Rattus norvegicus: one gene and its partners. The protein of the gene in region 2 purifies or fractionates together with the protein of the main gene of each other region. This does not show direct contact. Links are inferred from orthologs where the notes say so. Each region holds a gene or a part of one and is shown on either strand. Other genes may lie near its edges. The genes, in order: Ddx5, Hnrnpa1, Ilf2, Ddx28, Hnrnpc, Ddx17 and Hnrnpr.

Region 1 (4,200 bases), on a different chromosome or scaffold from region 2:
TCTGAGCTACTCCAACCATATCCAATCCACTGAGAGCAACTGGCCAGCCCTGAGCTTGGATAGCAGTGGGTTCAGTGAAGTTCTGCCTTGCAATCACATCCATGACATTTGCTGCAACCAACAATACCATTTTAACAAAAACTTATAGGCAAAAAAAGAGGGAAAAAACGTAAAGGGTTAAAGATAAAATTTATTCCTTACCAGGAAAGTTTGCTTCATAAAAATTCAGAACAGGTTTTGGACAGTTGTGACCTCTGACTGTAATTTCCTTGCTTCTTCTGTACGTATCTACCTCTTGCTGAAAAACAAATGATCTTGGTCTCAGACCTAGGCCAGATACACCGACAAGTTCCCTACAGCTCAGTTACACTCATTTCTAACTATCTGGACCCATAAATGGAACTCTACTTAGCAGTAAAAATCACAATACACATTAAAAAAAAAAAGTGTCTATGAAGCCCAAATAGGCTGACAAGCCTGTTTCCCCAGTGATGTTTCCCCAGAGATTAACATATGGCCATTACACCTGGCCAATACACAAGAGAAAATTCAATGGGAAGTCAGACAAGTAATTCTCCAAATAATCTGCAAGGCACCTGCTAAGTTTCCATCTAATTGATCAGAAGTAGTTACTACTGAGTTATAGCACGATGAAGCCACATTTAAATACTCACTGCGGTGCGCCTTGCCAAATCAGGGTGTTCCTGATAAAAATTCTTCTCAAATTTGGGCAGCTCATCAAGATTCCACTTCTTTTTAACTAGTTTCTCCCCAGGATTTCCAAACTTCTTTCCAGATAGGGGTCCTGTTCTACTCCCTCCAAATCGAGGTGCACCAAACCTACAAAAAAAAAAGTTAGGTACATTGTGAACAGACTTCTACATGAACAGGTTTGTCTCCACATTTCATTTAATGTCTCTTGATCCGAGCCAAAGTGTGCCTCTGGAATCCTTCCCAACTGTCATTCTACGGACAGCCACAACTGGCAGCGTTTCTTTTCTGAAGTCCCAAGTACACTCTAATGAGGCCAAATAAACAGCGTGGGATCTATCAGGTCCCAAACTGCCCAAACGTCTGAAGTTCAGATTACAAGGACAACAGCTAGAGGCTCCCTCTTCTCTCCCCACAGAGCTTAGGAATTAAGTGTCTAGGAGCTGGACAAGAAGGGAGGAGCTTAAGAAGGTTATTTTTGCCACTGTTTTCATCAAAGGGCCTGATCTTAAAGAAATAACGGGACTGCGCAGGCAACGTGAGTGGCTATGGGAGGACGGTACCGCGGGCAGGGTAGAAAGGGGCACACGCGCCAGGGAGCCTTGTTTTAGGAAACGCCGCGAACGGCTGCAAATCAAGGTAACAAAATTATATAACGCGAGGGAGAAAAAGAGGAGGAGTCGACGGCAACCGGGGGAGGAGTCCCGGCCCGGGCGGCGTTCCCGCTGGGGCGGCGCTTCCTTCTTTGTCTCGCATTTCTCTCTGCGCCACATTTTCTCGACGCTGCCATTTTGAGCTCCTCCGCCGGGCGGGGTAACAAAGGCGCCGCCGCCATGTCCGAGGCCGGCATTTTGTGGCTGCGGCTCAGCCACATGGCTGAATCCGCTGGCGTAGGCCACCCTACCGGGCACAGACGGCCTCGAAAGCGCCCCTTGTATTCTCTGGGGACCCCGGGGGCCCCCCTAAAACCCCCAGCGAAAGGCTGCGCAAACGACGCCTTGAGCCGACTCTAAGGCGAGGCGCTTCCCTATCTAAAACACCTCCGGGCTTCCCACAACAGCCGCGAGGTCGCCCAGGCCGCCGTCCTCCCAAACAAAAACCAAGGTTGAACCCAGTTACCAGAAGCGTCGCCTTTAACGGCTTTTTAGCCGGATGTCAGAGAAACGCAAGGCCTCCTACCAGAAAAAAAAATCTAAAGGTCGGTTGGAAAGCCGAGCTTCTGCCGCGCCGCTCTCCCATCCCCCACCCGCCCTGACAGGTCCCTTGTTATACTCACCCTCGATCCCGGCCGCGGTCTCGGTCACTAGAATAACTCGACATGGCGTCAATGGTTGCGGTGTGCTGGAGGAACCCAGTGAAAGAGAATCCAGTTGCGACGAGTCGCTGAAAGGAGGCCTCGGCGACGGCGAAGCCTTTGCGGGGGCGTCACCAGCGGAGGGACGGCGGTGACGAGGGCCGGAGCTGTAAACCCAAGGACCGATGGAAATGAATGAGGTGCCGGCTGCGTCCGGGCAGCCGGTTTTATAGTCTGGACCGCCTCCTCGTCGCAAAGGATGCTGGGAGCCGCTCTATGACCTAATCACCCCGCCCCCTGGCTCCAAGGCCTCAACGCCCGCTGGCGTTCCGGAATCCGCCATGTTCTCGCCCCTCCCCCCCGCGGGCGCTCCCTCATAGGCGCCCGTTTATTACTCGCTTCTCGACTGGGTGACACCACTAGAATGCCCCGTCCCACACCCTTTTGGCTACACCACCTTCTCGCCTTGCTACATGTCAAACAAGCTTCTTCCCCGTGGCCAACCAGTCATTAAAATGGCCAGCACCAGCCATCCTACTGTCTCTACTTGAAGATGTTTACGTCTTCACAGACTCCCCCACGCCCATAACCAAAGAAGACGGGGGAGGCGGAGCTTGGCGTTGTCACGTGATTGTACCCTGGGCAAGGCGTATCGCACTACTTTCTCGCTTGCCTTCGGCGGAGGAATACAAAACCACAAACTCACCGGAAGCGCGGCTCTAACGCCCCCAGGAGATCGGCCGGGCTGCTGGGTGACCTGGCTGCCCTGCACGCCGATCTGAGAGCCCTTAAGCGGGATCTTGTCCGCGGGGAATGGTATCTGGAGCCCGCAAACTGCCGCCTAAGCGCGTGCTGCGAAAGGAAGTGCTTCTCTTCTGACCAATCAGCGGCGAGAAGCCGTTTTAACGTCCCTCCCTTTTCTACCCCTCCTTCCCCGCTCTCTGGTTTCTACCCCCTCCTACTCCCTTCGGTTCTACCGGGTTCGACCCTTCCAGGACACCGTCGCCCGCGCTCTCGTCTTGGAGTCTGGCCGCGACCTCACTTGGCAGTATGGCCAGCTCAGAGGCTGGTGAGTCTCGGCCTGGAGCCCTAGTGTTTTTGTACTGCAGCATTCCGCAGGCCTCGGGCTGAATCTGAGCCATGTCTGGGCTGCTGGAGAGGCTCGTGATGGTTGGACACTAGTTGCAGTCGCAGGGAATCTCTAAATTTAGGGTCTCACCCTCGAGACCTCATGTGTTTTCCAGGCGTGGAATTGAGACTTGGGATGAGACAGGAGCTCATTGACAAGGCTGGGATACCCTCATCCTGTTTTTACAGAGCAGTCAGGATCCTTCTTGGATCCGAGTTTCTGTGGGGTATCTAGCCACAGACTGTCTCTCCTTCCCCTTTGGTTTGTTTGGACTAAGGTTGAACCTATCTATATATATTTTTTCCTTTTGAGGCATAGCACTCATAAGATCTTTTGATGCCCTCTACAGTAACTGGCTTTGTCTAGTACAGCCTTTAAAAAGCCAATTGACTCGGTTGTCTAGGACGCTTTCCTCGTCCTTTCCAAGACAATACAAAATGGTTGTCATGGCTTGGTCAGCTGTGCGCATTGGGCATTGGAAGGAGGGCAAAATGGGCATGACACATTCAGACTACTGTCTCCAGAATGTCTGACTGTACTGGAAATGTGACCAATTCTAAAGTGCTTTCTAATATCCAGTCATTTCAGGATACAGGCGTTTCAAGCTTTCGGAATTATTGCTGAAACCCTTAATCGTTAGTCCTGTACTATCTGGGGGAGGGCACGAGCTGTTTTTGGAAAAGAACAACGGGGAGCTTGATTAGGATTATTAATGTGCTAGTTTAGAGCTTAGCGATTTGGCTTTTTTTTTCTTTCATTTTTACCTTCGTACACATCAAATATAATAAAAAAGAAAACTAACAAATGCATTAGTGTCGGTGTTGTCATTATTCAAATTCCTAACAGCCTAAATTAATCACTTGTTTGGGCACCCGAGAGATCTTACTTATACAAGATAATTGGGTAAAAACATGTCTAAAAACTACTGGGAATTCAGAGCTACCTCCATTAATTTCTAGCAGTTTTTAGGTTTTCATTTACAGCTGTCTTACGATATTCCTGGTTACCTATAAATTTATTGTAACTAAAAACACCCATGTGAGTATAAAAATACCGGTAAATAGGA
Region 2 (4,295 bases):
AGTTTCTCTCAGTGGCAAGTTAGAATCGAAGGTCTTTGTGTACATATTCTAGGTCAAGACAGACATTTCTTGGATATATCAACTAAATGCCTGAAGTCCCAGCAGAAGGTAGACAATCCAGCTATGTCTCTAACTACCTCATGTGGAAGGAAGACACTAACCACTCATCCACCTACTCATTTTGGGGGAGGCGGCCCCAGCTTAAAGCCAGGAGGAGGTAGCATAGCAAGCCTATTTGCACGCACCATGCAATGTACCTACAATGCTCTAAGAGCCAGCCGTGAAGTCTGAGACGGGCATAAACCCTGGAAGTCTCATCTAGCTCCGCACCAAGTACCTGCGTCACTGGATACCTACCACTACCACCGCCAAAGCCGCCTCCGCCTCCTCCGTTGTTATAGCTGTCATAGCTGCCACTCCCGCCATAGCCACTGCCCTGGTTTCCATAACCCTGTCCACCACTTCCATAGCCTCTGCTTCCTCCAGAGTAACCAGGGCCGCCTCCTCCATAACCACCTACAAGAATACAAGTCTTCTCAATAAGACAAAAGTATTTAACAAGAAAAATCTACGCAAGTTAAATAGCTAAAGGCTGCTCAGGGCATGCATTTTACGGGGCTGACTGAACTTTGTCATGCACTAGGTTTAGTCTCTAGTAGCCTATTCTAAAGGTAGAGGTCGCCAGAAACCACTCCTTACAGACTCCTTAAGAAACTTACCATCATTGCCAAATCCATTATAGCCATCCCCACTGCCACCATATCCACCACCACCACGGCTGCCACCAAAGCCACCTGGAAGAAACCAAAGCTTTAAACCAGGCTTTGTACGTGAATGAATACTTATCAAATATCAAAACCTGTAAGTGCTGGGGACACAGGGTAGCAATTACTAGTTATAAGTTCTAAAACCAACAAGGAGCCAAACAAAGCCATACACACCACGACCACTGAAGTTCCCTCCTCGACCAAAATTGTCATTGCCACCGAAACCACCTCCACGACCACCACCAAAGTTTCCGGAACCACTTCGACCTTAAAAGAAATTTTGGATCATTAGGTTAACCTGTAATAACTAACAGTGTCCTCCTCACCCCAAGTCTAACCAAGCAATAAACACACCTCTCTGGCTGGATGAAGCACTAGCCATCTCTTGTTTCGACAGAGCCTTTCTTACTTCACAGTTGTGGCCATTCACAGTATGGTATTTCTGAACTAAGAGGAAAAATTAAATTCAGGACTTTTAAAAAAACATGTGAACTCCAGAATCATAAAGGAAAATGTAATCCTCTGATACTTACTAACAATCTTATCCACAGAGTCATGGTCATCAAAGGTGACAAACGCAAATCCCCTCTTTTTTCCACTGCCTCTGTCAGTCATAATTTCAATCACTTCAATTTTCCCATACTGCTCAAAATAATCTCGTAGGTGATGTTCTTCAGTGTCTTCTTTAATACCGCCAACAAAGATCTTCTTCACAGTTAAGTGGGCACCTGGTCTCTGAGAATCCTAAAAGGAAAAATGACTCCAGTTATTTAGTAGCAGCACATTCCTAAATGATTGACACCTGTGGTGGCACATGCCTTTAATTTCACTCAGGAGGGAGGATCTCCCAGTTGAGATCTGCCCCATTACAATCTCAGGTTAAAAAAGAACCAGCTATTAGGAAAAACCACTCACTTCTCTTGACACAGCTCTCTTAGGTTCCACAACTCTTCCATCCACCTTGTGTGGTCTTGCATTCATGGCAGCATCCACTTCCTCCACAGTGGCATATGTGACAAACCCAAAGCCTCTGGATCTTTTGGTGTTTGGATCTCTCATTACCTGTTTAGAGTTAATTCAATCAACACAGTGCCTGATCACAAAGCCAAAAAGTCATTCCTAGTCAGAGCGCTGCAAACATGAAACTCCATCCAGAGTCAGAAAATAAAAAGCTCTTTTACAGATCTTGTTAGCAAAGCTCCACAACGATGATTTTTAGTATCCCATTAATTAACTTCACAAAACATTTAGCTAAGAAGCGTCAAGGTTAAATCAGAAGAAATAAGGCAGCTCTTCCTTTTGTTTTTTTAAATCTTACCACACAGTCGGTGAGTGTTCCCCATTGCTCAAAATGGCTCCTCAGACTCTCGTCGGTTGTTTCGAAGCTCAGCCCTCCAATGAAGAGCTTCCGCAGCTGTTCCGGTTCCTTGGGGGACTAAAATAAAGTGGGGGAAAGAGGGGGCTTAGTGGAGGGCCTGAAACTTGGGCGAATGAATCAACACCATTCATCAACACACGCCACACTTTTTTATTGTTCTTTATTACTGCACAAGACCACGTGCTCCTTCCTGGGCTTGACTGGGGACTCGAGTTGCACGCGGCGCATGCGTCCTGTTACTTCATACGCAGGCGCAACAAAAGACACAGGTTGGTCTGGTCCATCGCCATTAAGACTTAGTATCTCTTTAACAAGAGATCATTAGACCAGATAGGGAAAAACGAAAAAAAGGCCACAAACCCCAGATCGTTAAGTGTAAGAATTCTGCCAAAAGGAACAGTGCGTAGAAACTAATGGCTGTCGGATCGCAGCCTCATGGTGACTATGAGGACAAAATGGCGACCTGCATTTTTTAAAGTAGGCCTCAGCAGTAATCGATCAAACACCGAAAGCACGGGAGCCAGCGACAAAACAGGTCACATCCCGTCATATTCAGTAAGTGTGGAAGAAAGCGAAGCTGCAGAGCGCGCTCAACTCACCTCTGACTTAGACATGACGGTAGGATGATGAGAGCGTTCAGCGATGCTTCCTCGCCAGCGTCAAAGAGCAGAAAGGAATAAGATAGCGAACGTGTCCGGCAGCCTACCTTCTGCTCTCCCTTTTATCCCGCCTCCTCGCTTTCGGCATTGGTAGACTCCGCCCTTGCTTCAGTCTTATTGGAGATTTGAAATTGTTCCCTCCCACCATTGGCCTGTAAAAACGCCCTGCTAAGAAACGGCATCCGTTTGGGCGTTCTACTCAGTCCCCGCCCCTTTGAGTCATTGACGCCCCAAGGGATCTTATTCTTAACCACATTGATTGGCTAGCTAGCCAGTAATTTATATTTGAATGTACTCACGTCTTTAAATGTGTTTTATACCTTCCCCACACCCGAATGTTACAAACTCACTCGGCAAAGGACGATACGTTAGAAAGTAGTTCGCCGCGACTTTTCCCAGCTATAAAGCGCATGTGTAATAAAAATGGCGAGTTTACGCCGGCGCAGTACGAAGTTCCGCCTGCTGTCTGGAACACGTGAAATGGCGGGCGGGAGAGGGATACGAGGTTCGTAGGCGCCTGCGTAGTGGAGGGACCTGTGTTCTGTTTTGCGCAGGCGTTTTGGGCGGAGAAAAGGTCCAAGCCCGGGATTGGTTGCGCAGGCGCAGGGAAGGATCCGTTTTGGCGGGCGGTTGGCATTGCGCAGAAGGCGGCGGTAGCGGTGGCTTGTGGTGCCGCTTTGCCACAGAGGAACCGTGCAGGCCTTAGTGTGAGTGATCACTTTAGATCCCGGGTAAGTGGCAGAGTCTTGTCTACCCGTACGAGATCTTGAACCTGCTCCAATTGCACCGGTTATTGTACGAAATGAATGGACCGCTGAACTGGGGGGGGGGGGGAGACGACGGTGAAGGGGCCGCGACGGGTCGGGCCAGCCAATAGGACAACTGGGGCGGGATGTTTTATCCTTGCAGGTTCGGTGAAGCTGCGTTGCCGAAGCGTTTGACTGGCGAGTGTATAGGCCAATTGGGTCTTCCTATAGCTGCCTACCAACCGGTCCTTGGGCCATCGGAATGTGGGAGGCGGGTTTTTCTTGCCTGAGTTGCGTCTCTCCGAGCCAATGAACCCCAAGCGCGCCATAGGCCGGCCTTCCCCAAGAGGCAGAGGCTGGACTCCAGTGGGGAGCGCGGGAGTCGGTAGGTTAAATTCATATAGAGCAAACCTGGAGCCAGTAGGACAGACTACTCTCAAAAAATAAAGCTTAGTCTTGCATTTGTGGGGGCGAACATTTAACTAAAATGACTCCTATAATTAAGGCATTCATTCCGTATATTACCTTAAGGAAAACATATGTTTTCTTGTACTTTTTGGTACAAAAAGTTTCACCCTTCACTTAGACTCTAGAGGACGTGCCTTTATTCTTTGGAAAGAAGAATATTAAAATTTTACAGTGAAATGAATACTTTAATGAAAAACATCCAAGAAAAATAGACTTAACCACTACCACCCGTTTCCAGGGCCGCTGTATTTGTACTTGTATCCCTATGAAAGTTTTT
Region 3 (4,139 bases), on a different chromosome or scaffold from region 2:
AGGCCCTGGGTTCAGTCCCCAGCTCCGAAAAAAAAAAAAAAAGAGCTGCCCCTGATAAAAAAAAAAAAAAAGCCAGATGGCAATGGTGGCACACACTCAGGAGGCAGAGGCAAGTGGGTTTCTGAGTTCCAGGATAGCCAGGGCTACAGAGAAAAGCCCTGTTTAAAAATCCAAACATAAATGAAGAAAGAAAGAAACTAATTATAATCTACCATGTAGTATAATATACACATTGAGCACTCTGGAGGCAGAGGCAGGCAGATCTCTGAGTTCCAGGCCAGCCAAGGTTTTATACACACACACACACATACACACACACACACACACACACACACGCAATGTCTCAAAGTAAATAAATAAGTCCTAAAAATATTTTTTTTTAAAAAAAAGGTATTTTCTAGGGTTGGGGATTTAGCTCAGTGGTAAAGCGCTTGCCCAGCAAGCACAAGGCCCTGGGTTCGGTCCCCAGCTCCGAAAAAAAAGAAAAAAAAAAAAAAGTATTTTCTAGACAAATATTACAATCAAACTGTAAAGAAAGTATCTTCCCTGCCTTGCTTACACTCTTTTCTAAGTTTTGTTCTTATTGAGACGGTTCATTTGTAGCCCAGGCTGGCCCTGAACACTAACAATGGTCCTATTGCTGGGGTTTCCATTGCTGGTATCACAAAAGGACTTCATTCTCTTTAAGACTGGCTGGGCTGGTGAACTGGCTTGTTTTTAATATGTATTTATGTATATGCGAGTGCCACAGTGTGTGTATATGCATCCTGTGTGCAAGAGCCTGTGGAAGTCAACAGAGACGTAAGAGCCTTGGAAATCAGAGTTACAGACAGATGTGCACTATGTACGATGTAAGAACCGGGAAAAACTTGTGTCCTCTGCTAGAGCCATGTTAGACCTGTAGTTATAGCTCTAAGTAGATTGCAATATATAATAAATACAATAATAAAATAAAACCAGTTAATGGGGTATACATGTAGCATGTTCACATCTCTAGCACTCAAACTAAGTAAATAAAAACTTACAGCAGGGGGGCTGGAGAGATGGCTCAGTGGTTAGGAGCACTACTGCTCTTCCAGAGGTGCTGAGCTCAATTCCCAGCAACTACATGGTGGCTCACAACTGTCTGTAATGGGATCTGATGCCCTCTTCTGGTGTGTCTGAAGACGGCTACAGTGTACTTATATATAATAAATAAATAAATCTTAAAAAAAAAAAAAACTTACAGCAGATGAATGCCTGTAATTCTAGCATTCAGGAGGCTGAGGCAGGAAGATGATGAATTTGCAGTCAGCTTGGTATACATAGAGTTCCAGGCCAGCCAATCATACAGAAGACCCACTCTCAAAGAACAGATCCATTCTTGAATCCTACTCCAAACAGTATCTAACGTCATTAACAAGGATTCTGGGCTTCTACACCTGTAAGTGAGCAGTAGCCAGTCAAGTTCTCCAAAGCCAAAATACTCACCAAATAGAAATCAAAGGGGATGTGGGGCACAAAAGGCCTGAACCTGAAACATGAAAACAATCCAAAATTATTCAGGCAGAAAGCAAGCAAGAGAATTCTGTCTTAAGAATTCAGGCATTTCTGGGGTTGGGGATTTAGCTCAGTGGTAGAGCGCTTGCCTAGGAAGCGCAAGGCCCTGGGTTCCGGTCCCCAGCTCCGAAAAAAAAAAGAATTCAGGCATTTCTAAGCTGCATCATTCTTAGCAAAAAGCCAAATTCACTTTGTAGGACATGAGGAAAAGAAATGCTTCGAGTGGTTTTCACAAAATCAAACAGAACAATCTACTCCAAACTCCTATCTACTGAAACAAACCAAGGCAAAGACGTGAACAGCCACACTCACCCTCCTCCAGGACCTCCTCTGGAACCAAAGCGCCCACCACGACCACGTCCTCTGTCACCCCTAAAAGTACATACATTTTACTCTCATGTTGCTGAAAAAGGTTTCCATCACACCATCAATGTTATTTCAATGTGACTTACCCTGACCCCCCTCCAACTACTGAAGTCGACAGATATATCATGCTCACTTCTCCCCGATTCCAAATGATGTCCAGTCCCACTCTCATGACATCCTAATTCTGGACTTTTTTTTCTTCTGTTTTTGAAACGGAATCTCATGTATCTCCTGCATTACCTCCCCCCACCCCAAGACTGCATCCTGAGCCACCACACCCCACTTCTAATTCAGGATTTTATCAAAACTCACATCAGGAAAATACGAGTTTCAGAACCTGACATACATACCCCTACTAAGTAACCCACGATCCTGAGGCACACGGGTCGTAATATTCAGGGTAAGGTGACTTCTCATTTATTAATACAGCATACCAGTTACGAGACATGTCCAATTGGTCAAACACTAGGCACCAGAAAAATGTGCAGCGCTCCAGCCTGCTCACTGCGCACGGAGGGTGATCTTCCTGGTCCGTTAAGACCTCTCCTCCATCCCCCGAGACCCAGGAATCAACACAACTGCCCTGCTGGGGCCCGGCCCCCCTCCAGGCCCGATTCCCCGAGTCGGCCAGCCTCCTCCTACTCCACTCTCTCCGGCCCGGCTTTCCGCCGGCCGCCCAGATACAGGCCCTTCTTCCCCCGACTCCATTTCAGCCTGCTCCCCAACTCCAACCCCCCATCCCTCGAGGCTACGGCAGGAACTTTCAAGCACCCTGTCTACTTACCTCATGGCTCGCTTAATCCTGAACAATGGAGACCACTCAACCGCTCTTCGCTTGGAAGAATCAAGGTAACAGAGAAACGTCGGGTCGGCGTGTCCCAACAAACGCCTGCGCGATAGGCTCCCGCCTCACTCCGTCCCGTGCGTTTATTGGTTAACCCAGCAACCAATGGAAATGCTCTGTAAAGGAGTCAACCAATAAGAAGACATACCAGGGACAGAGGCAATTTCCCCCACTTACAGTAGAGGGCGTTCAGAATTTGAGGCTGTAAGCAGGTAAAGTCTTCTATGGTAATACAAGCATAGCCTACCAGTAGGTAGCAGAGTGGCGCAGCGGAAGCGTGCTGGGCCCATAACCCAGAGGTCGATGGATCGAAACCATCCTCTGCTATCGGAGACTTTGTTTTTCTTTTTACGGGTGAAAATACAATTAAATTTTTCCATAGCAAGAGATGTGGGGTTTTTTTTCCTTCTCCAACTTTTTTTTCCAGACAGCGTCTTGCTTTGTCACCCTAGTTTACATAATACTCGTTAATGTAGCCTGAGCTGTCATCAAACTCTTAGCAATCTCTGCCGTGTGCCGCCTCACTTGAAAACATAACTTTTACCTTACGGAAATATCAGAAATAGTTCCATTTCCCACCATTTTTTCCCTCAATATCATTACTGTTATATGATTCTTTTTTATTGAAAATTGTCATACAATTTTTCTTGATCATGTATTTCTCTTCCCCAGTTCCACCCAGATCCTCCCTCCCCACTTCCCTATGCTAGGTGATTCTGACAAGTATTGATGTATTATTTACTTTTGTAGGCATCTATTCCTTCTAAGTAACCTCATTAAAATAAGGAATACTTTATCAGGTCGGCAAGGTGAGTCGGCAGGTACAATCGCAACTACCTGAGTTCGACCTCTGGAGACTCAGTGATGGAAGGTGAGCCGCGATCTGCATTTTGTCCTCCGACCTCACTATGAATGCCGTGGGTGTGGTGACACCCACAAACACAACATAAATAAATGTAACGGAAAAAAATTTAAAGGATATTTTGGTAAACATGGTGGAGCATGTCTTTAATTCCCGCACCTGGGAGGCAGCGGCAGGAGAATCTCTGTGAGTTCAAGGTCAGACTATTCTAGGTAACCAGTCCATGCCAAGTAAGTCTACATAGGGAGATCCTGCCTCACAAAAACAGTATTTTATCATCTCAGAAAGATAACCATACTGGATTTCTACTATCGTGGGTTAGGTTTGCCTTTAGATTTTCTTTTTATTGGGGCTCGATCAGAGATGACTCAGCAGTTCTTTTTTTCGGAGCTGGGGACCGAACCCAGGGCTTTGCGCTTCGCTTCCTAGGCAAGCGCTCTACCACTGAGCTAAATCCCCAACCCTAAGTTCAGTCAATCTCTAAAGTCCTCTAGGGGATTGTATTCACAAGCACGTATACATATACAC
Region 4 (3,881 bases), on a different chromosome or scaffold from region 2:
AAAAAAAATCAAAGCAACACAACCCAAGCCAACAAATCCCATGTGGTAGAGTATAAATCATTAAAATCTACTGAATTCTCTTCAAATGGTGGTTACTATTAAGGCTGTCCCCACAAAACCACTGTTAGCTAAGTGAACTCAGAGATCCACCTGTGTTTTGCCTCCTGAGTACTGGATTAAGGCATGTGCCACCACCAGGAAAGGGACCCTGTCTTTAAAAAAAAAAAAAGAATGGAAGATTACTAGGGACCAAGTCCATTGTGTGATATACAGTGCCAACTTGTTTCAAAACACACATACAAATAGTTTTTTAGAACTCATGATGTGTGGTCCATTGAGATAGCTCAGTGGGTAAAGGCACTTGTCAAACAAGCAGGATGATCTCAGTTAGATCCCTGGAACACAAAAAGGTGGAAAGAGAATACTGACTACACAGAATTGTCCTCTGACCTCCACACACACACATACAATTAGAAGAAAAAGAAACCATGACATTATGTAAAGTCAACATCCACTTTATTTTTTATTTTTTCGGAGCTGGGGACTGAACCCAGGGCCTTGCACTTGCTAGGCAAGCGCTCTACCACTGAGCTAAATCCCCAACCCCCCACTTTATTGTTTGAATGTTACTCTCCATTCCTGTCTAGTAGTTTATTTTTCAGATCTCGAAACAATTCATTATACTGCAGAGAGGCGAGGGGCTGGTATGACCCAATGTCATCAAAAGACAAGTGTTCAACTTTCCTGGACCTCCAAGAAGATCCCTGCTCTATTGTAGGTTTAAGTCAGCCAAAAAAGTCAGTCTTGTTGAGGCAATGGGTCCCTCACTGAAGATGTTAGTCCTGGAAGGCTTCTCCTTCTACGAGCTGCCAGTTCAATTTTCTGAACCAGGCTCACATCCCAGGGATGGGTCACAAAACTGGTAACAGTCCCCGGCACTTCACTGCCCACTCGACCCACCCTTCCTGCTCTGTGGATGTAATCCTGCAGAGTAGGGGGAAAATCATAATTGACAACCATTTCCACGTGGATGCTGTCTAGGCCTCGTGAGGCAATGTCTGTGCAGACAAGTATGTTTTGGGAGCCCTTCTGGAAACTCTGGAAGATACCTGCCCTCATTGAGGCTGGCATTTGCCCTTGCAGCCTTAAATGTTGGATTTTGTGGTCATCCAGAATGTACCCAAGCCAGTTCACGGTGCTGGCGCTGTTGCAGAATACCAGGACAGTTCCCGAGGGTTCTGCCTTATTTGCTTTGTCATGCTGTTTGAGGATCTGAATCAGTTCTGTCACCTTCTCTGTTCCCTTTAGTCTCATAAATGTCTGTCTGACATGAGGCATGATGCAGTGGAGCTTGGAGCTGGTGATGGTGGTCAGACTGTCTGGGCTGGTGACTTTACTCAGCAATTGGTTTAGGCCTTCTGGAAATGTGGCTCCCACCATCACTAACTGAGCTTTGGGATTAAAGGGGTCTTCTAACTCAGCTGGACTTTCTGCTATAGGGCTCTTTCCCAAGATGTAGTCCACCAGTTCCACGAAGCTTTCATCTAGCAGCGTGTCTACTTCATCCAGCACTATGAAGTTAAGATGATGTAAGCTGATCAGTTGACTTTTCAGAGCCTTCCACAGCGCCCCTGGAGTAGCCACTAGCACATCTGCTGACGGCCATTTACCCAGCTGAAGTTTGAGCCTATTCATTCCCAGGCCTCCGCCAAGTTCTATAACCTGCAGGTCCAAGTACCTACCCAATGACTGGGCCACTGCCTGCACCTGTTCGGCTAATTCTCGGGAAGGTACCAGAACCAAGCCTCGAGGAGCGGTGGAACTGCGGGAGTCCAGCTCTGGCCCTTTTAGGAGCCGTTGAAATAGGGGCAGTAGATAGCTAAGCGTCTTGCCGCTACCGGTTTCAGCAGCGCAAAGGATGTGGCGGCCGCGAAGCAGTGGGGGAATGGTTTTCGACTGCACGGAGGTTGGCTGAACAATTTCGGGGACAGCCTTCTGAAGCGCGAGCAGTACTCGGGGTTCTAGACCCAGGTCCACGAAGTTGCCCCGGGACGAGAGGTTCCTCATGGCGGGCGCCTCTTGCTGCACTCGCTCTATGGAAAAATGGTCCTGACGCGATCGCCGATGCTTCCAGCCACGCGAAGCCAGTGGTGCCCGCTCCCAACGGCCCAGCGTGAGGCGTGCGGGCTGGTTCAACTCTGGCCGCTTTGCCGAGACCAGGAGTGGACCAGGTTGCACTAGCACCGGCCGTTGGAAACTCCCACGGTCGCTCCGTCGCTGTTCCTGCCGTCGCTGCAGAGCCCGCGGAATGCGCACAACAGGCAAGGACTGGTCGGAACCGCGCAACACTATGTTCCGTCGAGGTTCCAGAAGCAACCGGACTGCTAATGATAATAGCCGCGTTGGCCCGGCTAAAGCCATATTTCTCTTGATGCAGAAGAGGCGCATGGTAGTGACGTCACGTACGCGACTGTAGTCTGAAATACGGTGGCTGGCGCAGATCAGTGTCACGTGTGGCTCTGCAGTACCGTCTGGAAGGAGGGAGGATCCTTAAGAGTTCAGTGGCTGTGAGGTCTGTAGGTTTCCATCCGGCAGGGCGATGTCCAGACTGGGGTCATCTTTGGGGACGGGTACTCGGTGGAAGAAGGAGTGGGAGTCCGCAATAGGAGGGGGACATGGGTCCCTGGCTCAAGGAATCGAGTGAGGATGGCCTCTGTCAACTGAGTGCTTAATTTCTGATATCTTACCTGTGGTCGTCATTGCCCCGACCTGTTATTCCATAGAACTTCAAGGGTACAAAGTACGACGATGTAGATATGCGCATCGCTCAAAACCTCGGTGATGCAAGTTTCCCGAGAGTCTGAATGAATGATAGGCCTGGGGACTGAAGCAAAAGTTGGAAGTCTGGGTCCAGGCTCAGCCCTGTTCTCTAGAACCCAGAGTGCATGCTGGTGGTCTTCAACATATTTCGTCTATGAAGGGAGAGAGATGGTCTCAGTTCTTTCAGGTGTAGTTTCTCATTTTTTACACTTCTTTTCCAGGCAAGTTTCACTCTCCATTCCTTGTCACCCCTTCATGATTTTTCATTCTCCATTCCTTGTCACCCCTTCATGATTCTCAGACTGGACTCAACCACTCTTAGAGTCTGCTCATATCCCACTGGCTTCTCAGGCAGATTCTAAATTGCCTGACTAGAAGTAGAAAGAAGAAAGGGTCCCGTTACCCTTATGAAGTGATGAAAGCTTATTTCACATAGTGCTGATCAAGCAGACTACTTGACTTGAATAGTGGTTCAGGTTATTAAATTTTTATTTATTTATTTATTTTACTTCATACTTCTTGAACACATCTGAAAAAAATATGGGCGTCAGATGTCAAGTGTCTGGAGTGGGAGATAAGGTCAATGTTTGTGGACTGAATACTTAGGAGGTTCCTAACATCTGGAGAAAGTGTTTTAATTTCATTCACTAGGTGGACATCTGTGGATTTTTCCACTGTAAAATGAAAATATTCATGAAAAATTGTGTCTGTACTAAATATGTATATGCATTTTTCTTTGAACTTACTCCCTAACAATACAGTATACCAAGTATTTACATCGTGCTTATATTCTATTGGTCATAAGCAATTTACAGATGATTTAAAGCATGTGCGAGAGGGTTGGAATGTAGATTAGTGATACAGTGCTTGCCTATTAGCATGTGAAGTCCTGAATCCATTCCCCCTAAAATCAAAGTATATATGCGTCTATGTAGAAATTTTATATAAGGGCTTGAGCATCCTCAGATTTTGGTATCTTTGAGGTTCCTAGAACCAATCTCCTAGTAGGTACCTATTGATGAAAGTACCATTAAAAAGATTAACATTTAGCTGAGCATAGT
Region 5 (4,008 bases), on a different chromosome or scaffold from region 2:
CTACTTTCAGCAATGACTAGGGTTAAATGAGAACTCAAAATTTCCATATAAAGTAGTAGTTTAGCTTGTTTTATATCTCAAAACAAATCCAGAAGTCTAATTTACTGGATACTTACATAGTTTTACACAGCCAAGATTTTTCAATTGTAGTTTCCCTAGTTAGTAACTTCCACTCATCATCTATAAGACTGTAACGAACTATTTAGGAATATATTCCTTACTTGCTTGAACAGCCATGCCCATTTATAACAAGATCACAAGCCAATAAATCTAGAGATCAAATTGCAAACATGTTATAATTACTCTACAGAAAAAATAGTAACCATTACCAACCATTTTGGAAAATGGCTTGACCATGGCAAATGAGAGATCCAAACCTTGCAATTTTAACAGCTTCCTCCCAAGTCAAATCAAAAATGTAATTTGAGTCTGGCCTCAAAACTCCAAGAAATCCACATGTTCTACCAGAACAAGGTGCCTACCAAGCCTGGCCTACATTTATAACACTTAATGGCAAGTATACATCAACTACTACCAGTAACCTTGCATAACTTCTGACATTTATAATACTTTCTCTTACCTAGTTTTCACTGTTCACCAGGCAAAACCCTGTACTCTATCTACTTTTTAAAGGCACATGCCTTTAATCCCATCTCTTACTTAGGCGGAGGCAGGTGGATCAGAGTTCAAGGCCAGCCTAATCAAGACAGTGGGTTCAGAAAAGCCAGGCCTATTGCACAGAGAAACCAAACAAAAAATGTGGGAGGCTGTTTTTTTTTCCTTTGTCTGCATTTGTTCTTCTTTAGACAGTCTTAATACTCCAAGCTGGACCAAGGATGGCCTTGAACTCTTCCTACCTCTATCCCCCAAGTGCTCAAATTACAAGAGTAGGCCATGCACATTCCATGAAGTATGCTTAAGAGTAAAATGTGTGTATAGTTTAAACTAAGATTAGTAGCATATTTTTGTCACTTAATCAAACCCATTGTTTTCTGTATAGCCCTGGCTGTCCTAGAATTACTAGATTTACTCTACATTCAGATCTCCTGCCTTCCTAGTGCTGAGATTAAAAACTGTGCCAGAGTGAAATACCAATTTTATAATAAGTTTATCTAATGAAATAACTCCCAGGTAAGTTAATGTGACACAAAAACCCTTTATTAGTATGGGAGATTGAATCCTGGGCATCTTGAATCCTAAGCACTATCACTAGCTATATTTAAAAGAACTCGGACGGAGGAGATGGCTCAGGGGTTAAGAGCACTGACTGCTCTTCCAGAGGTCCTGAGTTCAATTCCCAGCAACCACATGGTGGCTCACAACCATCAGTAATAAGAGATCTGATGCCCTCTTCTGGTGTGTCTGAAGACAGCAACAGTGTACTTATATAGAATAAATAAATCTAAAAAAAAAAAAAAAAAGAACTCAACACCTACAAGAGAGCAACTACTTTAATTTTTAAACATGTTTTACTATGTAGTCCTGGGCTGCCTTGCAATGGGATCTTGCTCAGGATCTTCCTGTCTCTGAACCTCCAGAATGCAAACATTCCGGGCCTGCACTACCATAACTAGCTGTAAACTGCTTTTTTTCCATTCTAGATGGGTAGGATTAATACTGGAGTATCTGTAAACTATTTCTGTGCCTTTTAATTATTGTTCCCAAGTCCAGATTGAAAATGTCCTGTAAATTTCGGTATCAGGTTCCTCTAAAAAGAAAAACTCATTCCCACCCCACCCCCCTTTTTGAGACAGGGCTTCTCTGTGTAGCCCGAGCTGTCCTGGAACTCTCTCTCTGTGACCAGGCTGGCCCACAACTCAGAGAGATCTGCCTGTCTCTGCCTCCCAAGTGGTGGGAGGCATTTGGCGTGCACTGTCACCACCTACCGGCTAAGTCTCTTCTTGTGTATAGTCTATTCTAGTAACTTGACCTGCCTAGAAATATCTTAGTTTCTCTACTACTGATTTAGTCCGGTCCTGTCAACCACTTTTAAGTCTCACTTCTCTCTAGGACAGCAGTACCTACCTCAAGCAAAGTTCCACTAACTTATGTGATTTGTAACCTGCAGATAAAAAGCTGTAATTATTCCAATTACAATTTACCTTGGGCACTTCCCTTTACAAACCAAAAGCACTCCCGACTTTTACCCATCTATCCCTTGAAGAAAAAAGTAATCACTACTTAATCTATTGTTAAAACGCCGTTCAGATGCCATGTGGCCGGCCTGGAATTTAGAAGCTTCCAGTACTACACCACCATGTTATCGCTCCCCCACCCACGCCCGACATTTAGCTTAGAAGACAATAACGGAGTAAGAGATTCACTACAATTACATTAACAAGCATTTCGTTCTTCGCTTTCTTGCTCCCCTGCTCCCCCTTGGAATCCTAATGGGGGAAGGAAATGAAAGTAGCCGTTAAACACCAGCGCGCAAAGAGGGTATTTTCGTACGCACCGTGGCCTAGAGGTCACTAGGTTGAACCTGCGCCAAGGCCGAGGCCTGTTGCCTCCCGCCTTAGACCCAATCCCCAACGCACAGGAACAAACGCGGCCTCGGTTTCTGCCGCGAGGCCGTTTTCTCGCCTACAACCCCCTCGCGGGGCCCAGCAACCCAGGGCCTCCCCTGCCCTCGCCCTCTCCGCTTACCAAGAGGAAGGAGAGAGAGAGAAGAGCCTGCCTCTCCTACTGCGGGTCTACGCCGAGAAGCCGGAGCTACAACAGCAAGGAACCACACGACCGTTCGCTCTCCGTCTCTTCACAAAATGGCCCCCGAGCTCCTCTGCCGCCGAGGCAAAAGTCCAGCCCCCGCCCCGCTCCCGGAGGCGTTTCTATTGGCTGTGACTTTTCTCGCTCCCGCTCCTAATTAGATAGCGTTACCGCTCCTCACAATTCCGTCCAATCATCACACGAGGTGGGTTGGGCTAATTGGGAGAATTTCCACATGCGTAACAAAAGCTACTTAGTAATTGGTTAAGCTTTCTATCACTTAGTGTCTGACGGATGGTTATTGGTCACTGTACCAGACGGAAAGCTGGGTGGAATTTTCGCCTTTGTATCGCGCACAGCTTCTCATCCGGGTATCCGGCGGACCTGACTGACGGCCGTGTCGTCCTATCAGTGCTTCCTAGAGATCCTAGGTCCGGCCAGATCACCGCATTTCCGCGGCACGGAGGTGGGAAAGCCTGGGTGGAGTCTGGTAGCGGGTGCAAAGGGCCTGCCCTAGCCTCAGGCCTTGGAAAAAAAGGGAAGTGCAAACAAGCTTTAGAGAAGGGAGGATCGTAATCCCTAGGCCGCCTGAAGTGTTAAAAACTAAACAGGTCTGCAGTTATTTTCAAATTCAGATCCCCTCTCATTGCCAGATTCTATAAGCTATTGGAAGGACGTGGCCTTGTCAGTGAACAGCTCCCTCCAAACCAACTGGTTTCCATAGTTCTCTCCTATAAGAGCAATTGCCTAGACCCCTATAAACCCGTTTCCTGGGCCCAAGTCGTCACACAATCTGCAAAACCAATGGCCAGCCGCCTCAGTTTCCCACTTCCTGCAATAGCTTGATACTACTTAACCCCCTCAGCTCGGCCAGTAAAGCTCTGGTTACACTGTAGAAACATTAAACAGGCCAAAAATGTATATAGCCTACTGAGAAAGGGAAAGAGTACCCCAGGAAATTTCCTGATTTAAAAATAAAAAATAATCTTTTAGGTCTTCTTTAGACCTTTAAACCTTTGACATTTTCAAAGGATTTATTTTAAATGTTCCAGTCCAGCGAGTTTATGTGTTCCCAATTTTATTTTATTTTTTTTTTCTTTAAAGAAAGGTTTGGGCTAGGCGGTATTTCTAGTGCAAGGCCAGTCTACTCAAGTTTCAGGACAGCTAGGGCTGTATAGTGAAACTCTCTGTCGAAAAAACAATAAATATAAGTACCTAGGTAGAGGTAGGTAGGTAGACAGACAAATGGGAAGCCCTTCATGGCTAGGCTTGCGGGCCATTGAACCCCAGGTTCCTTCTGTT
Region 6 (4,290 bases), about 23 Mb from region 2:
AACTAATATTTAGTTACAGAGGAAAACAAACCAAAAACCTCACCAACATGTAGGTTACAGGTGTTTGTTTTGTTAATGATTGTATTGAATTGAACATGTGTAATCCTAGCCCTTGAAAGCTGGTGACAAGGTCAGAGCTCAAGGCCAGTTCTGGTCTACAAAGAGACCTGGAGTCAAAACAAAACCCCTTCAAACAAATTTAAATTGTCTTGTCTTTAGATACCGTTTACCACAGATAAGCTAAACAATACAGATATGGCCACTTGCCAAAGCTAAGATGTAAGAAATCAGAAACTACTTTTCCCAGAACAATATAACATAACCTCTAATTTGTCCTATTATAACCTCTTTATTTGTCTTAATCTATGTAGTACAGGGCCTTAAAAAAAACTCATTTCCTTTTTAGTTTTGTTTCTCTGAGACTCTATCATAGCCTTGGCTGTGCTGGAGGCCTAGGCCTCTCTTTCCACCATGCCCTGCAGGACCTCACTCCTGATTCCTTGTAAACCACTAGAGCATTGGAGAAAATTCAATAGTAGCTACTTTAAAGAATGTCAAGACTGGTAATACTGGGAGAGGTAGCAGGAACCCCACAAGACAATAATATTCTCTTCTGTTAGAGCCTGGTGTGGTGGCCTACATCTGTTTCTGAACTCTGGACACTGGCACAGTGAAGACACATTCCAGGTCAACCAGGGCAGACTAAGCTACACAGCACTGAGACAAACCCACCCTGCAATGATTTATGGCCAGAAACGTTTCTGGAATTCATTGGGTATCTACATTCAGTAGGCAGAATTTGGGTGACTTAATACCACTGCTAAAACAACACAACTAGAAAGAAAAATACACAACTGAGTACACCCACCAGACCTTAAGGTCTCAGGCTTTTCAGCTCAATATTACAGTGTCAAGGGCTTCTCATTTGACTGCCTCACTCCACTTGCAAATGAAGTAACAAACAGAATTCTAAAACGTTTCCAAGAAAGTCAGTTCTTTTTCAATCATGCAATAGCCAAGACCCAATCATTAAGAGGTTTTAAGCCTAACTCAAACGAGTGTAATGTGGTTCCTATGTATGTCCACTGTGCTTGCTAGAATCCAAAACTGCTTGCATCTTAATGATCCAGCAGAAAATAAAGCTTCTACAATTAAGATTCTTTTACAAGGCGTTTTCTAACCGAATTTCCTTTTTCTACCACTGCCCCTCACTTTGAACTGTTAACCATTCCCTTGTTTTGAGACAAGATCTGTGTAGCCCAGGCTAGCTTTTAACTCCAAGCTCCTGACTCAGCCTCAAATGCAGGGATTACTGGTATGTGTCACCCCAAGGGGTTCTTTTGGTTTCAACAGCTTGGTTACTTTCAAAGACTTTTTTTCCTTCGAGGTAGGGGCTCCCTGTGTAGTCCTGGGACTCACTACACAGATCAGGCTGGCTTTGAATCTGTTTTGTCTTTGCCTCCTGAGTCGATTTGCCACCACAACTAGCCAAGTTTTCATCGTATCCAAACAAAAAGCACCCAGAGTTTATCTAGACGCGAAGTGTTTCCACTCTCTAGGTGTCAGAAATAAAGCTGGCATAAGCTTTTGGATGTATTGATTCCAGGGCATATATTCAAGGATTTCTCAGGCAACACACCACCAAAAGCTTCGTACGTTAACTAATTAAAAAAACATATAAAGGGGGTTGAGGATTTAGCTCAGTGGTAGAGCGCTTGCCTAGCAAGCGCAAGGCCCTGGGTTCGGTCCCCAGCTCCGAAAAAAAAGAAAAAAAAATAAAAACAAAACTTCTTAGCTTAGGCTTCAAAATCAACTGGATCTTTAAAAGGCAATTTAAAAAGTCACCTGCCTCTTGGCTCTCCCAATTTCGATCTTTTAGAAATCAACTCCAGCACTTCCTATTCCAAACTGCTTCCAGTTAACCAAAATAAGACACAAGGGTAGTAAAACCTAGTTTAGATTCAAAAAGGTCTTTCCGACTCTAGTCCTTCTCTAAAAGGGATGGCTAACATAGCGGAAAGGAAACCATTCAAGGCAGCTTTTCCTAGATGAAAACTGTTCTCCCCATAAGACGCGAGGGCCAGCTTGCAGGTATCAAATGACCAGCGAGCGGGCCAAGAGAGGAGACCAGGCTGGCCTGCCACTTCCGAGCCAGGACCGCGGTCCGCAAAGGCGCCCGCCAGAGCCTGAGGCCCGCGCACTGCCGCCATTGTACGTCCCGAGCCTCAGGCTCTGCGGGCCACCCCGCCCCCCGCCTGCACCTCCCCCTTACCCTCCACGGTCCCGGTCACGATCCCGATCCCCAAAGCCGCCTCCGCGCATGGTCCCAAACGGATAAAGATCTGGGAGTGGGGCACGGATGACCGAGCTCGGGAGGGCTTGCTGCTCTGGTCTAGTGATGACCGATGGCGGCGGCGCCTCCGCTGTTGGGGCGGCGGCAGGCGCGGCGCTGTCTCGCTCCGACGCGCTGTCTCCCGTCGCAGACGCCACCGTCGCCGCCTCTCTCGTCGGAGACGGGAGCAAAACTCAGAGAATCGGGGTTGTTAGTACAGTTGGGAGGTCTGGTCACGCTCAAACCGGGCGGTGCCACGGTTTAGGCGTCTCCTTCCCTTCCCAGCAACTGCACAAAATGGCGGCGGCCGCTGAGACTGCTCCAACTTAACGCTACGCACAGCCGAGACGCTACGTAAACAGCGCCTGGAGGGCTGCGCGCGATGCTACAGACATTCTAGGAATGGCTTTACGCCGGTGACGGAGATGAGTGCTCTTGTTGGTCCACCTAAATAAGGCAGTGTGCGCAACCGGCGTAGCGTTCTCGCGCCGCCAGCTCTAGAACGTTGGGTGGGGGTGGGGCGAGCCGTCGGCACGACGTAACATTGTTTGCGTCGTTGGCCAGCCCACTATTGCGAGGATGCGCAGTCTTCGTAGCGCATTCTGTTTAGAGAATCGACTTATCCCGGCATTCCGAGCTCAAACGACCCTTGATGCCAGCCTTGTGCAGACACAATGGTCGCTTTCCATGTTGCTTTGGTCAGGCTTCGGGGTCTGTGGGCCGTAGAACCCTGAAAGTCTTGAGACCCTCTTGGTTGGCCTCGGCCCCTCGCCCCAGCGCCCTTTGTGCCCCAAGCTAGCCACACGCCCCGGCGCCATTTCCTTCCCGTTGCTTTTTGCCGCGCTGGCGCCGCAGCCATGTTGGATGCATCGTGTCGCTCTCTAAAGCGGGCAACAACCCAGCTAGGCTAAAAGACATCCAGTGTTTCCCGCAGTTCATGTTAAGGTGCCATTTTTCCGTACAGAGTGTTGTCACATTTCCCACTGGCCATAGTTGATGCCTCATACGGAGGCCACACCTTCCCAGAGTCCTTTCTGAGGTGGGCGCTTTGAACCTTAGCCATCATTAAAATGGGTGACTCACACGGGTCCGCGACTGCAGAAACGGTGCGTTTTCTAGGTGAGGATTTGCAAACCCAATCCGGGGAAGGCAGGCTGGGCTAGGCCACGGGTACCACCCAACTCCTAGATTACTTTCTTTGCTTGCCATCCCTGCACACTGCCAAGCCACACAAGCTTGGTCATACTTGCTTTATAAAATTGTGAAACTGCTGTATTCCTTGAGACCTCTAGGCTCATTTCTATAGACGCGGAGAATGGAAGCCTGAAGACTGAGTCTTGTCTCCGGTTCTGAGTGTTGCTTAGCTTATTGAAAGCCCTTGAGAAGCTGTTCATTTGTCATTTGGGCCATAGAGAAAGTCACAGAAATCCATGCATTTCGATAGTTGCTAGGGCACTGGGGAACCAACACATTCCTTTGCTCAGAGCTCTATTCTCTAGAGACGGAGAGGAGACAGATGACAAATGTTTATGTCAGACTCTTTTTTTTAAAGATTTATTTATTTTATGTATGTGAATATACTGTCGCTGTCTTCAGACACACCAGAAGAGGGCATCAGATCCCATTACAGATGGTTGTGAGCCACCATGTAGTTGCTGGGAATTGAACTCAGGACCTCTGGAAGAGCAGTCAGTGCTCTTAACCTGAGTCATCTCTCCAGTCTCTATGTTAAACTTTCGCTAACATGGAAAAGAAAATGGTGTAGAGGCTGTGGGAAAGTGCTTGCTGACCATGACTGAAGCCCCGGATTCAATACCTAGCACACCCAACATCAACAACATCAACAACAACAACAACAATATCAACAACAACAACAACAACCACCACACACTGAAGGGAAGCCGATGCTTGCTTTAATCGCAGTACTCAGGAGGCAGAAACAGGCGGATCTCGAGTTA
Region 7 (3,500 bases), on a different chromosome or scaffold from region 2:
CAGAGTCCGAGTTGGAGCCTCAGCACTACGTAAACCTGTTGTGGAGAAAACTTATCATCCCAGCACCCTGGTGGTGCAAGCAGGAGGACTATAAGTTAGTGAGCTCTAGGACTGCTTGAGCTACATAAAACCCTGTCTCAAAAAACAACAAGAGCAAACCAAAAGAAGGAAGGCATGCCAGGGAGGAGGGAGGTAGAGCACTCCTTTAACCCCAGCACTCAGGAGGTAGGAGCAGGAATTACCTCTGAGTTTGAGGCCAGCCTGGTCTACAGAGTGAGTTCCAGGATGGCCAGGACTATATACAGAAAGGGGGGAAGGGGGAGGAATGAGCCAGAGAGAAACTTTTACAAAAGCCTAAGGAGTCACTTACTTTTCAATCTGCATATGAACTGATGTGCTCAAATCTTCTCAATTCTACACCTACACTTTCCCCTCTCATTAATTTCTAAGTGCATTTTATGTGTTGAAAGAAAGCGAAGAGTAATGACAAACACAGTTTCAGAAGTACTGACATTTCAAAACAAAAATGTTTTAGACGTGATGGCTCATCCAGCACAACCCTAGCATTCAAGAGGCAGACAGGATTGCCAATTGTTCAAGGCAAGCCTGATCTACACAGAGCACTTTAGATCAGGAAAGTTTACATGTAAGACTTTGTCTTAAAATAAAATAAACATGAACTGAGTCCAGTGGCCTATGCCCACAACCCCTACCCTCAGAAGTCAAGGCAGCCTAGGCTACATACTAAAGTATCATTGCAAATGGAGACTTAGGTCAAGGAGCATGGCACACTGGTAGAACACATGCTCAGAACGAATGAGGGCCCAAGTTCGATCTCTAGGACAAAAAACTTAAAAACTACTTTTCCTTTAGCAGTAAGCTCCAACAATTGTCTGTATTTCTTGCTTTAAGATATGGGAGGCAGGCGGGGGGAAGATAACATTTAAACTGTAAACTTAAAAAATGCAATTAAAAAAGAGAGAGAGAGATAGATTTATACTGGGCTGGAAAGACGGTTTGGCAGTTAAAGAGCACTGACTACTCTTCCAGAGGTTCTGAGTTCGATTCCCAGCAACCACATGGTGGCTCACGACCATCTGTAATGAGATCCGACACCCTCTTCTGGTGTGTCTAAGGAAAGCGACAGTGTACTTTATACATGAAATAAACCTTGCAAGAAAGATTTCTATACCAAGGTTAGTTACCTTTGCTAATAAAAAATATACATAAATACTACCAATATAACACTAGCCACACTTTGAAAGTAATCAAGTACTTTGCCCACATCATACACTCGATAATCCACTTAATAGACTAGAAAGATTTCCCACAAAGGGATAAATAAGAGCACTGACCTCTGTTCCAATTCCTGGTTGCACACCTGAGTACACACTGTCTGGTGGAGGCCCACCATACTTCCTCTGTCCTGTGGTTACATCCAAAGTATAACCAGTCCTCTCGAGCAAGGCCTAAAAATAATTGCACATGTTAAACACACACAAACTATAACATCTTATGAAATGCATTTTATGCTAATTTAAAAGGAGTAGCTAGAAATATAGCATGCATGCATGCATGCATGCATGAGGCACTGGATTCTTTCTCCAGTATCACATATATGGGGCTGGGCAGCAGCAGTGCATGACTTTAATCCCAGTACTCAGCAAACAGAGGCAGGCAGATCTTTGAGTTTGAGGGCAGCCTGATCTATGGAGTAAGTTCTAGGACAGCCAGAGCTACACGAGAAACCCTGTCTGGAACTCCCTCCTCACCCCCCAAAAAAGAGAAAAAGAAAAATGAGGAGCTAGAGAGATGGCGTAGCAGTTAAGAGTTTACTGCTCTTCCAGAGGACACACATTTGGTTCACAGGAAACATGCTAAACATGTCACTATTAACTGTCTGTAACTCCAGGTCCAATGAGTCCAACACCCTCTTCTGGCCTCCATGGACACTGTAGTCATGTGTACAAATCCACACTCAGACACACACATATACATACAATTAAAGAAAACAGTAAACTATTTCAAAGGGGGTAGCCAAAGAGACAGCTCTAACATTGAGCGCACCTGCTGATCTTTGCAAACTCCTGGGTTTAGTTCCCAGAATACACACAGCTCACGACTGCCCTTAACTATTCCATTTGTCTGTTCATATTCTTACCAAACCACAAGCTCAGCACAACTGAAGTATCTCACAGGGTAGACTCTAAATTTGGTAACTACCAAATAAATATACTGACTTAAAAAAAATGAAACCTTATTATTTAATTGTCCCACCTCATTAACATTAGTTAACAGAAGATGCCCTTGCCCCCAAAGAGCTTGCACTATAGTTTACATAACACTCATGTGAAATTTCCTATGAAAGGCCTATAGAATATCTTCTGTTGGCAAACAAAATATGTACTCTACCAAGAAAGAGAAGGGCTTTGCATGTTAGGTATTTAATTATACAAAGCAACACCAGATTTATGTTTGCTAAATTTAGTTAACCATATGATTCCACAGGGATGGATGTCTTGAACCTTCCATTTTTTTTTTACCAGGGGGCTGGGGGACAGGGGTGGTGTTAGCCAATCAGAGTTGTTATACAGTTGTTTGGAATTTATCTAAGAATTGGCTAGGGGGCTGAAGAAATAGTTCAGCGGTTAAGAGCACTGACTGCTGATGGGGTTGGAGATTTAGCTCAATGGTAGAGTGCTTGCTTGCCTAGCAAATGCAAGGCCCTGGGTTCGATCCCCAGCTCCAAAAAAAAAAAAAAGAAGAGCACTGACTGCTCTTCCAGAGGTCTTGAGTTCAATTCCCAGCAACCACATGGTGGCTCACAACCATCTGAAATGGGATCTGATGCCCTCTTCTGGTGTGTCTGAAGACAGCGAGCGACACTGTACTCATATAAATAATTACATCTTTAAAAAAAAAAGAATTCAGCTAAATTACTTTATAAACAGATGAGAATGGAGGAGAAAAGTGTAAAGATGCTTTACAAAGTTAGTTAGACCTAAACAGGAGCCACCAGTGCAAACAACACCAAAATTCAATACCATTCAAATTAAATCTGGGAGGGCGGCTTAGAACCAAGCATTCGATTAGCATGTGTAAAGCCCTGGGTTAGATCCCCAGGGCTTGGGGTTGGGGGTGACCAACTGCAACCTTGTCAATACCCCTTTAACTAGGTCTTTTAGCAAAAGCCTATTTGCCTTTCAAAGGAGTTTATCTAGGTTAGTAATAATAATGATGACTGGGGAGGGTAGATATTTTACATATGAATTCATCTAATCTACACAACCGCTGTAGGCACAACCAGGACCATTTTATAGATGCACTAAGGTCAGAAAAAATTCAAAAGAAAGAAGAAAGCAGTTAGAATACGACAGCTCTTTCCTAAGAGAAAAAAAATCCCAGCCTTTCACTTCAACACTCAGGAGGCTGAGGCAGCATCACCTTGAGTTTGGAACCAACCTGGGCTCTACAGTGAGTTCCCGATCAGACTGAGCTAC

What was found.
Region 1: the proteins of Hnrnpa1 (region 2) and Ddx5 purify together in Homo sapiens (affinity purification with mass spectrometry; 4 studies listed by BioGRID and IntAct, with this or other methods). This does not show direct contact. The link is inferred for Rattus norvegicus from reciprocal best matches to the Homo sapiens genes HNRNPA1 and DDX5.
Region 3: the proteins of Hnrnpa1 (region 2) and Ilf2 purify together in Homo sapiens (affinity purification with mass spectrometry; 4 studies listed by BioGRID and IntAct, with this or other methods). This does not show direct contact. The link is inferred for Rattus norvegicus from reciprocal best matches to the Homo sapiens genes HNRNPA1 and ILF2.
Region 4: the proteins of Hnrnpa1 (region 2) and Ddx28 purify together in Homo sapiens (affinity purification with mass spectrometry; 3 studies listed by BioGRID and IntAct, with this or other methods). This does not show direct contact. The link is inferred for Rattus norvegicus from reciprocal best matches to the Homo sapiens genes HNRNPA1 and DDX28.
Region 5: the proteins of Hnrnpa1 (region 2) and Hnrnpc purify together in Homo sapiens (affinity purification with mass spectrometry; 8 studies listed by BioGRID and IntAct, with this or other methods). This does not show direct contact. The link is inferred for Rattus norvegicus from reciprocal best matches to the Homo sapiens genes HNRNPA1 and HNRNPC.
Region 6: the proteins of Hnrnpa1 (region 2) and Ddx17 purify together in Homo sapiens (affinity purification with mass spectrometry; 4 studies listed by BioGRID, with this or other methods). This does not show direct contact. The link is inferred for Rattus norvegicus from reciprocal best matches to the Homo sapiens genes HNRNPA1 and DDX17.
Region 7: the proteins of Hnrnpa1 (region 2) and Hnrnpr purify together in Homo sapiens (affinity purification with mass spectrometry; 7 studies listed by BioGRID and IntAct, counting the BioPlex papers as one, with this or other methods). This does not show direct contact. The link is inferred for Rattus norvegicus from reciprocal best matches to the Homo sapiens genes HNRNPA1 and HNRNPR.

Annotation. Positions count from the first base shown.
Region 1 is NC_086028.1:92,229,129-92,233,328, forward strand, and holds the start of Ddx5 (probable ATP-dependent RNA helicase DDX5), read right to left. Parts: upstream 2,801-4,200; 5' UTR 2,712-2,800; exon of another isoform or gene 2,701-2,711; intron 2,604-2,700; exon of another isoform or gene 2,463-2,603; intron 2,173-2,462; 5' UTR 2,032-2,172; coding exon 1,988-2,031; intron 841-1,987; coding exon 675-840; intron 299-674; coding exon 202-298; intron 112-201; coding exon 1-111. Other genes in the region: Cep95 (centrosomal protein of 95 kDa), read left to right, coding at 3,056-3,074. UniProt on the Homo sapiens protein: Involved in the alternative regulation of pre-mRNA splicing; its RNA helicase activity is necessary for increasing tau exon 10 inclusion and occurs in a RBM4-dependent manner. Binds to the tau pre-mRNA in the stem-loop region downstream of exon 10.
Region 2 is NC_086025.1:136,252,623-136,256,917, reverse strand, and holds the start of Hnrnpa1 (heterogeneous nuclear ribonucleoprotein A1), read right to left. Parts: upstream 2,801-4,295; 5' UTR 2,760-2,800; coding exon 2,745-2,759; intron 2,701-2,744; exon of another isoform or gene 2,343-2,700; intron 2,203-2,342; coding exon 2,086-2,202; intron 1,830-2,085; coding exon 1,683-1,829; intron 1,512-1,682; coding exon 1,301-1,511; intron 1,215-1,300; coding exon 1,122-1,214; intron 1,035-1,121; coding exon 942-1,034; intron 795-941; coding exon 720-794; intron 517-719; coding exon 358-516; intron 1-357. UniProt on the Homo sapiens protein: Involved in the packaging of pre-mRNA into hnRNP particles, transport of poly(A) mRNA from the nucleus to the cytoplasm and modulation of splice site selection.
Region 3 is NC_086020.1:178,255,588-178,259,726, reverse strand, and holds the start of Ilf2 (interleukin enhancer-binding factor 2), read right to left. Parts: upstream 2,801-4,139; 5' UTR 2,695-2,800; coding exon 2,690-2,694; intron 1,912-2,689; coding exon 1,852-1,911; intron 1,514-1,851; coding exon 1,471-1,513; intron 1-1,470. UniProt on the Homo sapiens protein: Chromatin-interacting protein that forms a stable heterodimer with interleukin enhancer-binding factor 3/ILF3 and plays a role in several biological processes including transcription, innate immunity or cell growth.
Region 4 is NC_086037.1:50,819,143-50,823,023, forward strand, and holds Ddx28 (probable ATP-dependent RNA helicase DDX28), read right to left. Parts: upstream 2,432-3,881; 5' UTR 2,422-2,431; coding exon 799-2,421; 3' UTR 501-798; downstream 1-500. UniProt on the Homo sapiens protein: Plays an essential role in facilitating the proper assembly of the mitochondrial large ribosomal subunit and its helicase activity is essential for this function. May be involved in RNA processing or transport. Has RNA and Mg(2+)-dependent ATPase activity.
Region 5 is NC_086033.1:27,279,916-27,283,923, forward strand, and holds the start of Hnrnpc (heterogeneous nuclear ribonucleoprotein C), read right to left. Parts: upstream 2,801-4,008; 5' UTR 2,647-2,800; intron 2,063-2,646; exon of another isoform or gene 2,026-2,062; intron 1-2,025. UniProt on the Homo sapiens protein: Binds pre-mRNA and nucleates the assembly of 40S hnRNP particles. Interacts with poly-U tracts in the 3'-UTR or 5'-UTR of mRNA and modulates the stability and the level of translation of bound mRNA molecules. Single HNRNPC tetramers bind 230-240 nucleotides.
Region 6 is NC_086025.1:112,986,948-112,991,237, forward strand, and holds the start of Ddx17 (probable ATP-dependent RNA helicase DDX17), read right to left. Parts: upstream 2,801-4,290; 5' UTR 2,323-2,800; coding exon 2,273-2,322; intron 1-2,272. UniProt on the Homo sapiens protein: As an RNA helicase, unwinds RNA and alters RNA structures through ATP binding and hydrolysis.
Region 7 is NC_086023.1:153,833,019-153,836,518, reverse strand, and holds part of Hnrnpr (heterogeneous nuclear ribonucleoprotein R), read right to left. Parts: intron 1,470-3,500; coding exon 1,356-1,469; intron 1-1,355. UniProt on the Homo sapiens protein: Component of ribonucleosomes, which are complexes of at least 20 other different heterogeneous nuclear ribonucleoproteins (hnRNP). hnRNP play an important role in processing of precursor mRNA in the nucleus.